3 linked regions of the Saccharomyces cerevisiae S288C genome follow. The gene in region 3 interacts genetically with the main gene of each other region. Each region holds a gene or a part of one and is shown on either strand. Other genes may lie near its edges.

Region 1 (3,723 bases), on a different chromosome or scaffold from region 3:
AAAATTTTAACACCTTTGGAACTCACACCTAGTTTTAACAAGGAAACTCCATCAGAGTTCGATAATGATGCTGCCACTAATAGCGTATTGTCATTGAGAAACCTGATATTAGAAAGAACAAGATTTTTATCAAAATCCGTTTTCCTTGCTACAAAATTTCCGTCCCTAACAGACGCTACTTCCAAAGAATTAGAAGTGATATATGACAAAAGAATACCGTTAGGGGCGAAGTGCAAATCATTAACTTCCCTACCCGTTTCAATTTCGTAATTTTCCGTCAAATTACGCGGGTCAATGATTCTTATCACAGTGGGCACTTCAGAGGACGCAATTGCAGCTACTGTGGCCCTTTGATTAATGTAAACAAACTTAGTGAAAACGGATGGGTCTGTAGTTCTGTTGAAATCAATACTGGCCACGAATTTTAGATGTTCTTGTTCAAACACAAACTTCCTCAAGTGGTGGTTAACGTTCTCCATGGAGGAATCATTAAACAGTTCATTGCAACCAACTAGAATCAGGTTATTATTACAATCCAATGAAGTGGGCGCATCGTCAATCGAATCTAATGTGATCTCACGAAACCTTCTAATGTGTTTCTTTTTCTGGAAGTTCACCTTTAAAGCTGTAATTTTGTTTGGAAACGAGGAATTGAACTGGCCTCCACCACCAGCCACCAGTAGAGTGCCTTCATTTATAAATTTAGCACCATATATCGGATATCCGACGTCATAGTTTGCAGAGTTGCCACTCATTATTATGCTAGTTTTTCTAAGTTTAAAAGGAGAGAAAAAAAAGGAAGAGAGGACGTATCGTAGGGAATTGTGATGCTTGTTGACAAACAGCCTCCGTCGATCGAAGCAGCTATAAGCGTAGGTTACTTGAAGCGTTCACAGTTCTCATTTACACTGTACAATTCTCGAGATATAAATGAAAATTACTACAACCAAGAAAAAAGGACAGGAGGGCTAAAAGGATAATAAAATAGGGCAGTTACAAATGTGGTCAAAAATACTAGGGCTCAAAATTGCTAAGTAAGGGCTTGACAGATGTAACATAATACGAAATAAACTGGATATCGTTTAATAATTATCAAGGTGATTTAAATCGTAAATACATAGGCTGGGCCATATACACTAACATGTGTCGTGACCAATGTGCAGCAGATAGACTTGCTCATTAAATATATTCCAGGTAGGATTCTCTAAGGGTTTTTTTTTTTCTCTATAGCTGTCACTTTTTTTTTTTTCTCTTATCAATCACAGATATAATAAGCATAACATCGGAAAGAAAATAATGATAGGGCAAAAGGGAAAGCATTTCCAGTTGAATACAGTATCTCTACTATATTGTTGTTCGCTGAAGACAGCCGTTTCCGGAAAAAAGTGATTGTGTGATCGCAGTTACCCGCACCTTTGTTCAACAGTACATAATAAGAATCTGTAGATATAGATGAACTTTCTCTATTACATAAGACTAGCCTAAAAGCCTTGTTTCTATCATTTAAAGGCTTTTGAGACACTCAAATCAGTGTCAACCTTTTGGATAAGTCAAAGAAAGTACGCCGCTGCTCAGAAAATTGTTATCGTGATTGAGAACTGATCTAGGCATTACAATTAAAGGAAACAAGGGAAATATTCTATTGAATGTTGCATAAAAGCCCTTCAAGAAAGAGATTTGCTTCTCCTTTGCATCTAGGATGCATTCTAACGCTTACAGTGCTCTGCCTTATTGCTTACTACTTTGCTTTACCGGATTATTTATCGGTAGGGAAGAGCTCATCCAGGGGTGCCATGGATCAAAAATCTGATGGAACCTTTAGACTTAAGTCTATCTACAGGCATGGCGTCGGAGCAAACCATCGGCTACACCAGAGGCTGGAGGTCACTCCAGAAGTTATTTCTGCCGCTGGAATGCTGTATCAAGAAACCACAACTCAAGGACAGGATTTCGAAGACCAAGAACCCCTATGGACTACTAATGCCGAATATGCCACCACTAACCCATTCGATTTTGAGTTTGAGCTACGAAGGATGCCGCTATTGATGAAGCGGATGAAGGAAAGAGATCCTGAATTCATAGAGTCGTACATTTACGGAGAAACATACATGACGGAGGAGGAAGAACACGCCATGTGGATAGATGATGACATTGTGGCACCCAATATCACAGATAGAGGTACAGTAGTGTCGTTAGCATTAATGTCGTCTAATGCTTACGTGAGAATACCGCAAACGGGAGACTGGCGTAACGTCACGGAGCCGTGGAATGAAACAGAGCCGGAAGATTTTGGTTGGGATGGTGATGGTATACGTGGTCACGTCTTTTACAATGAAGTGGAGAATATCGTGGTACTCTCGATAAAGGGAACCAGCGCTCAGGGTTTGCCAGGGTCTGGCGAAGATGAGACAACTGGAAACGACAAGATCAACGATAATTTGTTATTTTCGTGTTGTTGTGCAAGAGTGAGCTACCTGTGGACTACCGTGTGCGATTGCTATGTGAAGTCGTATATATGCGATGAGTCTTGCCTGGAAAAGGAACTGAGACGTAAGGATAGATTTTACTCTGCAGTCGTTGACATATACAAAGGCGTCCTCAAAGAATACCCCGATGCGGCCATATGGGTCACAGGCCACTCACTGGGAGGCGCATTGGCCAGTTTACTGGGCCGCACTTTTGGATTGCCTGCGGTCGCATTCGAGTCCCCTGGAGAGCTACTACCTTCAAAAAGACTTCACTTACCATTCCCACCGGGACTTCCCTCATACATGGAGGGTATCTGGCACTTCGGTCACAACGCAGACCCAATCTTCATGGGTACATGCAACGGAGCTAGTTCAAGTTGCTCACTGGTGGGCTACGCTATGGAAACCGCGTGCCACACTGGTAGAGTCTGTGTCTACGATGTGGTCAACGACAAGGGCTGGAGTGTAAACATGTTCAACCACAGAATCCACAAAGTCATTGACGAAGTTCTCCTTGGATACGAGCAGGCTGCCAAGTGCGTTGAACCAGAGCCCTGCGTAGATTGCTACAACTGGAAGTTTATTCCAAGCAGAGACTGGGAATCCTCATCGAGGCTCATTACCAAGACTAAAAGCCACGCTGCACCAACCACGACGACTCGCACCACTGCTACTACTACCTCTTCATCTACCTGTGTAGGCCGCAATTGGCTTGGCTTCTGCACCAAATACGAGTTGTAAGACCCATACATCTATTATGACCCTAGTGTTGTTTTAGGGCCTATGCGCCCTTTTTTTCTTCCATTGTCTGATAAATAATGTATCATTTTGACAACTTAAAGGTTCAGCTAAACGACACGAGAAGATATATTAATACTGCTTTAAAGTGAAAGGCGTCAGTCAGGTGCAATTAATAGGTCACATATTCTTTGCTTCAATTGCTCTCTAGCAAACTCACACACTCGTAGATTGGAAGACCGAAGAAAATAGATAGACTTTCGAATAAGTTCAGCAACAACATGTGGTTGAAATCCTTGCTGCTCTGCCTGTACTCCTTAGTACTCTGCCAAGTCCACGCTGCACCTTCATCAGGGAAGCAGATTACCTCCAAGGATGTTGATCTTCAGAAAAAATATGAGCCCAGTCCCCCCGCCACACATCGTGGAATAATCACTATCGAATACTTTGATCCCGTTTCGAAGTCGATGAAAGAGGCGGATCTGACTTTTGAGTTGTACGGTACTGTCGTGCCCAA
Region 2 (3,453 bases), on a different chromosome or scaffold from region 3:
CTCCTTGTTTGATGGGTTATGGTGAAGCTTTAACTAAAATGAAGGGTAAAGTCACCGCACCTGAAGGGTCCGTTTACCACGAATGGTGTGAAACTTACGCATCTTCATGGTATCGTGAAGCCATGGATGAAGGTGAAAAACTTTTGAACCACATCTTAGAAACATACCCTCCAGAGCAACTTGACACTTTAGTAACAATCTACGCTGAAGTTTGTGAATTAGAAACAAATTTTTGGACCGCTGCGCTAGAATACGAGTAGATAAGATGGCTTATGCACAATAGATAAAGATATACCTACATATAATGAATTATAAAAACAAAAAAATAATAATAAGAAAAAAGTTTCTTTGTTATACAATCTATAAAAACTTCTTATAGAAATTTAAACACGTTTATTTAGCTGCTTTTCGTTACTCATTATTCTATCAATAAAGAAAGAAGGAAATATAAAAGGAAACCATGAAAAAAATGGCGCTAATTTTTTATTTTTAAAAACTATTCATGGATTCTTTTCGAAACCCTCATCACGAACCATTTGAGCATTAACTTTAGCTGATTCTGGATCCAAGTAAAATTTCCTCACAAAAGAGTAATTGTCTCTATCCAACTCTATAACTAGCGGAATGCCGTTGGGAATATCGACATCTTTGATGTCTTCATCTGAGATACCTTCCAATACTTTCAGCAGAGATCTTACAGAGCTGCCATGCCCAACTATAACACACGATTCTTGACTGATTTTGTTGGCGGTAGACAGAACAACATTATTTAAAAATGGTTTCAATCTGACGACCACTTCACAAAGAGACTCACTTTCTGGCAGACGCTCATTAGCCTTCTCTTCGGGGCCGTATTTTAAGTGTCTATTGGGCTCCTTAAAATCATAGCCTGTGGAGGACCCCTGATCATTTTCCTCTTGGACCATTTCCAGGTTTAGGTTGACTTTAGGGGGTTTTCCGTTGTAATCTCTTCTGATATACATGTATTTTTCCTTACCGTATTCTTTCAAGATATCTGGCTTTCTTTGTCCTTGCCATGCGCCGTAATGACGCTCATTTAACCTCCAGGTTTGCAACACAGGCATACTTCCTTCAAATCTTGTGTCCTGCAGCTCCTCCTTAATGTTTGTATTCGTAGTAATTACATAATTGGTGTGTTTTAGTCCCAACTCTTCGAGAATAACGTCCATGGTCTGCTGAGTTCGAATCAACCTTGAAGTATAGCCAATCTGAGGCAAAGAGATATTGTTAGAATCGCAAAACTGCTTGATCAATTTTGCAGAGTGGCGGGCCTGAGACTTCCCTTTTTCCGTTAATTGAGCATCAATCCATCCGCAGAATATGTTTTCTGAGTTTAATTCACTTTGACCATGCCTTAAAATAAACAGTTTAAAAGTGTCAGTAACAGTCATAACTATTCGTTATTAGTAGATCTTTTTGCACTATTTCTCAATCCTCTCAAAGAGACTTTTATTGTAAATCCTCGATTGCAGGTTGTTTTATCACATATGTATAAAATGGAAGCTTCTATTGTTTTATCGAACTTGTCAATGAAATCTCGCATTGTTATCATCTCATAATACAAATCTGAAAAAAAAAGTTAAAAAACAAAGGAAAGTCACACAAAACTAGCAAAAGTAACAAATCAAAATTCGCTGACAGTTAGTGCTGTCGTATCCTGTCACACTTACATAATATATATCTGTTTACATAATCTAATAGCTTGAACAAAAGCAACAGCAAAGGTTGCTAATTAAAACGTGTGCTCTTAAGGACATCATAATTCTCTATCAAGGAAAGATTGGAGCATACCCTGTGGGGTTTCATCATATTCTTTCAGGGTTACCTTGTTATTGTCGTCAATATAAGAATTCGATTGTATGAATTGTCTCCTTGGCAATCTCTTAGATAAGACGATGTCTCTTAAAGACGCCAAATCCGGTGTCACCGTTGATCTATCAATAAAGTACTTACTTCCCTGTTCCACATCGCCTGAACATTTGTAAACATGCAAATGCTTTAAATAGTCTTTCACACATTCATGTCCCGCTGTTTTAATGAGAGATTTATCCAACTTGATGGCAAAATCATCATTCGTGCTGTTCATCTCCAACTTTAAGAAATTCTTATCTGTAGAGTGCTTCATAAATGTTTTCATGATAGAAAATCTTGCTTGCATGTGTGGTTGTCCCCACTTACCAGTTTTTGGATTCCAGTATTCTAAAGCTAGGAGACCCGCACGGGCCATTTGTAGATATCCAGCGTAGATCACTTTATCTTGAGATTCGACATCATGGAAACCAAAAATATCAAGAATCTTCTTATTAGTAAGCAAAAACATGGCAATTACTTCCGCACGACATTCTTCAAATGGGCCAGCTAACTGTCCAAATTTGGAACCCCAAGTTTCACCAACTTTGTAGTATGTGCTCACCGGTTTCCCATCCAAACCTAAAGGAGGGTTTTCCTTATCAAAATTAAAGCCGTCTGTAAATTCTGTCAACAACTTTCCTGAACCATGTCCTAATAATTCATGGATGCCTACTTGGACTTCAAAAGAATCACTTTGATATTTTTCAAAAATTGGGCGATCTTCTTGCGATATAAAACTTGGCGGATGCTTGGATGAGCTTTTGGCAGCCGCGCTTAAGATATTCCCCAAAGAAACATTCTTGAACCCAATTTTAAGCCGAACATCATCATAGTTTGGAATATTGATGCCCGCTGGTATACCCGATCCAGTAAACGTTAATACTTCTAGAGAGGTGAAATCTGGTGGATTGAAAATCGGTTTTTCGTAATCTTTAGACCATGGTAGTAAGGAAATGAATTCTTCTGCGTTGTTAACCAAGCTGGAAAATTTAGCAGTACGTTCTTTGTTTTGAATTGCAACCAACGATTCAAATTCTCCAATTATGCCCGAGGGTTCTCTATATGTTTCGATAAAACCGATATTTGTTTCAATGACGGGAGATATATCTTTGACCCAAAGTTTTTGTGCTTCTTTATGTGCTTGAGAAGAGCCAGTGACAAAGTGGTTGATGTATTCCTGAAGCATTGCTTTTTGAGTATCATTAGCCGCGAATTTTTGAGCTTCCTTTAAATACGATGCTACTAAACGCATTTCACGTGAATGATCACCAAAAATGAATTCTACTTTGGTTACAGCATTGGATAATGTGATCTGTCCACTGGGGTAGGTTTCTGTTATCTGGTTTTTCACATTCTCAGAGGCAACCCAGATTTGGAAACTGTTTTCACCAACTTTGTTGATTCTTGTGTTTTCAGGCAAGATGGCAAGTTCAGCAAACAACTGCTCTTTCAAAAGAGCCATATCTTCAGGTGTCACAGGTAAACCCAGATAATAGGCTGAAGTATAACCTTGAGAGGGAAACCCTAAGAGAGCCGCCTTCTCTTCCACATGGTAAATACCAATATCAATTAGCTCATTGA
Region 3 (4,997 bases):
GATAGGGAAACATCGTCTAATTGAGCAATCAATTGTTCGACTTGGAGGTTCGTAGCAGTGTATGGTGTTTCCACGTTTTCTGAAGAAGTTATTGAAAGACGTTTCTCATTTAACCCATCAAGACTTAAATCTTCAACTTTTGTTGACGATGATGACACACCAGGTGATTTCTGTTCCTTTGAAGATTCCAGGCCAGAAAAGTTATCATCAGGATATATTTTAGAGTCTAGTGCGTTCATGGTTAAAGATGGTGTATTACTTTCCCTCGTAACATTAATTTCCGGAATTTTAGGTTCTGTATTCTTTTCCTCTTGTTTTGCTTCTGGAAAATCATCTTGAAGTGGTTCATTTTCAAGATTCATCTGTAGTTTAGGATCTGGTTCAAAATTTAGGCTTTCAATATCATTCTCATCCTCCTGCTGTCCTTCACTTTCATATTCGATTGAACTTTCCTCTTTTTGCTGTTCTTTTCCGAGTTTTTGGTCGAGCACACCTCTGTTATCGGTTTGGTTCATAGAATTTACAACGCTTGCAGTGTCATTTTGAGTCAGCATCATGAAACTTCTTTCAATAGGGCTCAAATCTTGTTCCCTTTCAGTATTACCAGCATCTTCTTGTTCGAAGTTGAAGGGGAAGTTATCTGCGGCTTGGAATTCCTTGTTAGCAGGTGATTTACATGTATGCCTAGAGGCAGCATATTGTTCCGCCTGACGGTCTAAGTCGCGTTCAAAACGGAAGGGATCCTCTTGCGAAGCACGCTCGCTGGGCCTGGAAATAGAACGAGATATGTCACTGGGTCTCGAAGACGTAAAATTGCTATTCTTTGGAGGAGTTACACTCCGCCTCTCGCTATTCTCCAATACGGGAGGCGGATAAATGTCAGACTCGCCCTTTACAGATGAATAAGCACTCTTTGAAGACGCCGTATACGCACTCTTCATCGTGACCGGAACAGATGGGGCGGCAGATACATTTCTTTGACGGGTTATTGGCGGCGACTTCACGGAAGCTTGTAAACTTCCAGTGGAAGCATTCCTCTGACTACTGAACGGATTACGCGGCTTAGTGTCAAACCCTGCTCTTTCTAGAGCAGTTTTGTAGCGGACCTTCGGATTTATTTTAGGGAAGGGGGACCCGTAGATTGAGTTATACATTGACTTGAGCGTTTCTTTTGCTAAATTTATTCTTGTTTTTCCCCTTACGTTATTCACTATAAGCTTTGAAGAAGCTTGAAAAAAATTCGGCTATAATATCCTATTCTAGCTGTATAAATTAAATATTCAACACAGCAGAAATATATTTTAAGGCTACCTCTTAAATTTGCAACACTCCAGCTTTTCTATTATTATTATTTACTTATTTTTTCATGTTTCCTATTATTCATGGAATTGAAAAAGGACGCGAATTGAAAATTTCGAAAGAAATAGGGCTAGGCGCTTCAAAAAGTCATTAGGTTTACTTACCAATATTAGTAGGTTAAATATTAGAAAAAAGGAAAAAAGATCTTAAGGGGTTTAAAAAAAGTAGGGTAAACTAGGGCTGACATATTACCCCTCTTATACGATAATTGCGACTATGAAACGCTAAACCACAATTATAAAGTATGGTTGATTCAAATTGTCATTATGTCATTATTGTACTCGTAAAAGAGGCCTGTATTCAAGTATTTGATCAAAAAAATTAGCGCTGTAATAATTATTGAAGGGAGTACAGGTATATGTAATAAAAGTCTGAATGAGCAGCAAAATATCAGATCTTACATCTACACAAAATAAGCCCCTCCTTGTTACGCAACAACTAATCGAAAAATATTACGAACAGATCCTGGGCACTTCCCAGAACATAATTCCTATTTTAAATCCGAAGAACAAGTTTATTAGGCCCAGTAAGGATAATTCAGATGTTGAAAGGGTGGAGGAGGATGCTGGTAAAAGACTGCAAACTGGCAAGAACAAAACTACGAACAAAGTAAATTTCAACCTGGATACTGGAAACGAGGATAAACTTGACGATGACCAAGAGACAGTAACAGAAAATGAAAATAATGATATCGAGATGGTTGAGACAGACGAAGGCGAAGATGAAAGGCAAGGGTCATCTTTAGCCAGTAAATGCAAATCATTTCTTTACAACGTTTTTGTGGGAAACTATGAAAGAGACATTCTTATTGACAAAGTCTGTTCACAAAAGCAACATGCGATGTCATTTGAAGAATGGTGTTCTGCGGGCGCCAGATTGGATGACCTCACTGGGAAAACAGAATGGAAGCAGAAATTGGAAAGTCCCTTGTATGATTACAAGCTAATAAAAGATTTAACATCTAGAATGCGTGAGGAGCGCTTGAATAGGAATTACGCTCAATTGTTGTACATCATTAGGACGAATTGGGTACGAAACCTGGGAAATATGGGGAATGTAAACCTATATAGGCACTCCCATGTAGGCACCAAATATTTAATTGACGAGTATATGATGGAGTCTAGGTTAGCGCTAGAATCTTTAATGGAGTCTGATCTTGATGATAGTTACCTTTTGGGTATACTGCAACAAACGAGAAGAAATATTGGTCGTACCGCTTTAGTTCTCAGTGGGGGTGGAACTTTTGGTCTTTTCCACATCGGTGTCCTTGGTACTCTATTTGAATTGGATTTATTACCCAGAGTGATTAGTGGTAGCAGTGCTGGTGCAATTGTAGCAAGCATATTATCTGTCCATCACAAAGAAGAAATTCCGGTTTTACTAAATCATATTTTGGATAAAGAATTCAACATTTTCAAAGACGATAAACAGAAAAGTGAAAGCGAGAATTTGTTAATAAAAATATCTAGGTTCTTCAAAAACGGTACGTGGTTTGATAACAAGCATCTGGTAAATACAATGATAGAATTTTTGGGAGATTTGACATTTAGGGAAGCTTACAATAGAACGGGTAAAATTTTGAATATAACCGTTTCGCCGGCATCTTTATTTGAACAACCGCGCTTGCTGAATAATTTGACTGCACCAAACGTCCTGATTTGGTCCGCCGTATGTGCATCATGTTCACTACCGGGAATTTTCCCCTCGAGCCCACTTTACGAAAAAGATCCAAAAACGGGAGAAAGGAAACCATGGACTGGTAGTAGTTCGGTCAAATTTGTCGATGGTTCTGTGGACAATGACTTGCCCATTTCTCGTCTTTCTGAAATGTTTAATGTAGACCATATTATCGCATGCCAGGTGAATATTCACGTATTTCCCTTTTTGAAACTATCACTATCCTGTGTTGGCGGGGAAATTGAGGACGAATTTAGTGCAAGATTAAAGCAAAACTTATCAAGTATATACAATTTTATGGCCAATGAAGCTATTCATATTCTAGAAATTGGAAGTGAGATGGGAATTGCCAAAAACGCGCTTACAAAACTGAGATCGGTATTATCTCAACAATATTCTGGTGACATCACTATTTTGCCCGACATGTGTATGCTTTTTAGAATAAAGGAGCTGTTGTCAAACCCAACAAAAGAATTTTTATTAAGGGAAATCACCAATGGTGCAAAAGCTACGTGGCCCAAGGTTTCCATTATTCAAAATCACTGTGGCCAGGAATTTGCTCTGGATAAGGCGATTTCTTATATCAAAGGTAGGATGATTGTCACCTCCTCTTTAAAAACCCCCTTCCAATTTGCTGATTCAGTCATTGGATTAATTAAAGCTCCAGAGCAAACGTCAGATGAGTCCAAAAACCCAGAAAATTCAACATTGCTAACTAGGACTCCAACCAAGGGTGACAATCATATTTCCAATGTTTTAGATGACAACTTATTAGAATCAGAATCGACAAACTCTTTGCTATTGTTACGTGAGAATGCAAGCACATATGGGCGGTCACCTTCCGGGTTTAGACCGCGGTATTCCATTACGTCCGCTTCTCTCAATCCGCGTCACCAAAGAAGGAAATCAGATACTATTTCAACTTCAAGGCGACCAGCCAAATCCTTTTCATTTTCAGTTGCTTCTCCCACATCAAGGATGTTGAGGCAATCCAGCAAAATCAATGGACACCCACCGCCAATTCTGCAGAAAAAAACAAGTATGGGCCGGCTAATGTTTCCTATGGATGCCAAGACCTATGACCCGGAAAGCCATGAACTTATCCCACATTCTGCCAGCATTGAAACACCTGCCATGGTAGACAAGAAATTGCATTTTGGCCGAAAGAGTAGATACTTGAGGCATATGAACAAAAAATGGGTCAGCAGTAGCAACATATTATACACAGATTCGGATAAAGAAGACCATCCTACATTGAGACTGATAAGTAACTTCGATTCAGACGCAATGATTCATAGTGATTTAGCGGGCAATTTCAGGCGTCATAGCATTGATGGAAGACCCCCTTCTCAAGCTACAAAGAGCTCACCGTTTCGATCGAGGCCTTCTTCTTCAACGCAGCACAAAAGCACCACCAGTTTTACTCAATAAGAAAACACGGGCTTGCTTATATATCCTCTAGATATTCTTTTTCATCTATGTATTTATTCGAATGGCCTTTCTCATTCATATCATTTTCAAAGCGGAAATCGAAATCATTGTTTTCTCTCGAGCTGCACTAAGAAAAAAAGCCACTTTACTAAAACAATACCTTCAACATATTTGAAAATATTATTATGGTGGAAGAAAGATATTGGTTACACAAATGAGTCAGTCTTACGAAGCAGGAAATGCCAATATGGGCCAAGGGGAGGATGATGAATTTGATGGCTATTTCGAAGACTTTGACAACGATATCATGCCAAATAGTAATAATGGACAAAGGGTTGGTACTAATGCTGGATTGTCATTCAATGACGAAGTAAATGTTAATGATGATGATTTTTTAGACATTTATAATATGTCCCCTAGAGAGAGATTGATGCATAATATCAGGAAGAATGTTCAAAAATTACAGTTTTATTTTTATTCACTACGCTTATGGCAACAGATTATCATTGTCCTCCTCGGCATAATGCTAA

Evidence for each region.
Region 1: of TGL4 (region 3) and ATG15, changing one suppresses a phenotype caused by changing the other (phenotypic suppression), as found in Saccharomyces cerevisiae (one study listed by BioGRID).
Region 2: mutations in TGL4 (region 3) and GPM3 together harm fitness more than expected from each alone (negative genetic interaction), as found in Saccharomyces cerevisiae (2 studies listed by BioGRID).

What each region holds. Positions count from the first base shown.
Region 1 is NC_001135.5:235,568-239,290, forward strand, and holds ATG15 (triglyceride lipase ATG15), read left to right. Parts: upstream 1-1,646; coding exon 1,647-3,209; downstream 3,210-3,723. Other genes in the region: GTPase-activating protein SED4, read right to left, coding at 1-755; peptidylprolyl isomerase family protein CPR4, read left to right, coding at 3,488-3,723. UniProt on the Saccharomyces cerevisiae protein: Lipase which is essential for lysis of subvacuolar cytoplasm to vacuole targeted bodies and intravacuolar autophagic bodies. Involved in the lysis of intravacuolar multivesicular body (MVB) vesicles.
Region 2 is NC_001147.6:221,227-224,679, reverse strand, and holds GPM3 (phosphoglycerate mutase family protein GPM3), read right to left. Parts: upstream 1,413-3,453; coding exon 501-1,412; downstream 1-500. Other genes in the region: THI20 (trifunctional hydroxymethylpyrimidine kinase/phosphomethylpyrimidine kinase/thiaminase), read left to right, coding at 1-260; YOL057W (dipeptidyl-peptidase III), read right to left, coding at 1,778-3,453. UniProt on the Saccharomyces cerevisiae protein: Could be non-functional.
Region 3 is NC_001143.9:605,103-610,099, reverse strand, and holds TGL4 (triacylglycerol lipase), read left to right. Parts: upstream 1-1,734; coding exon 1,735-4,467; downstream 4,468-4,997. Other genes in the region: PXL1 (Pxl1p), read right to left, coding at 1-1,154; TVP38 (Tvp38p), read left to right, coding at 4,682-4,997. UniProt on the Saccharomyces cerevisiae protein: Lipid particle-localized triacylglycerol (TAG) lipase. The lipid droplet/particle is a lipid storage compartment which serves as a depot of energy and building blocks for membrane lipid biosynthesis.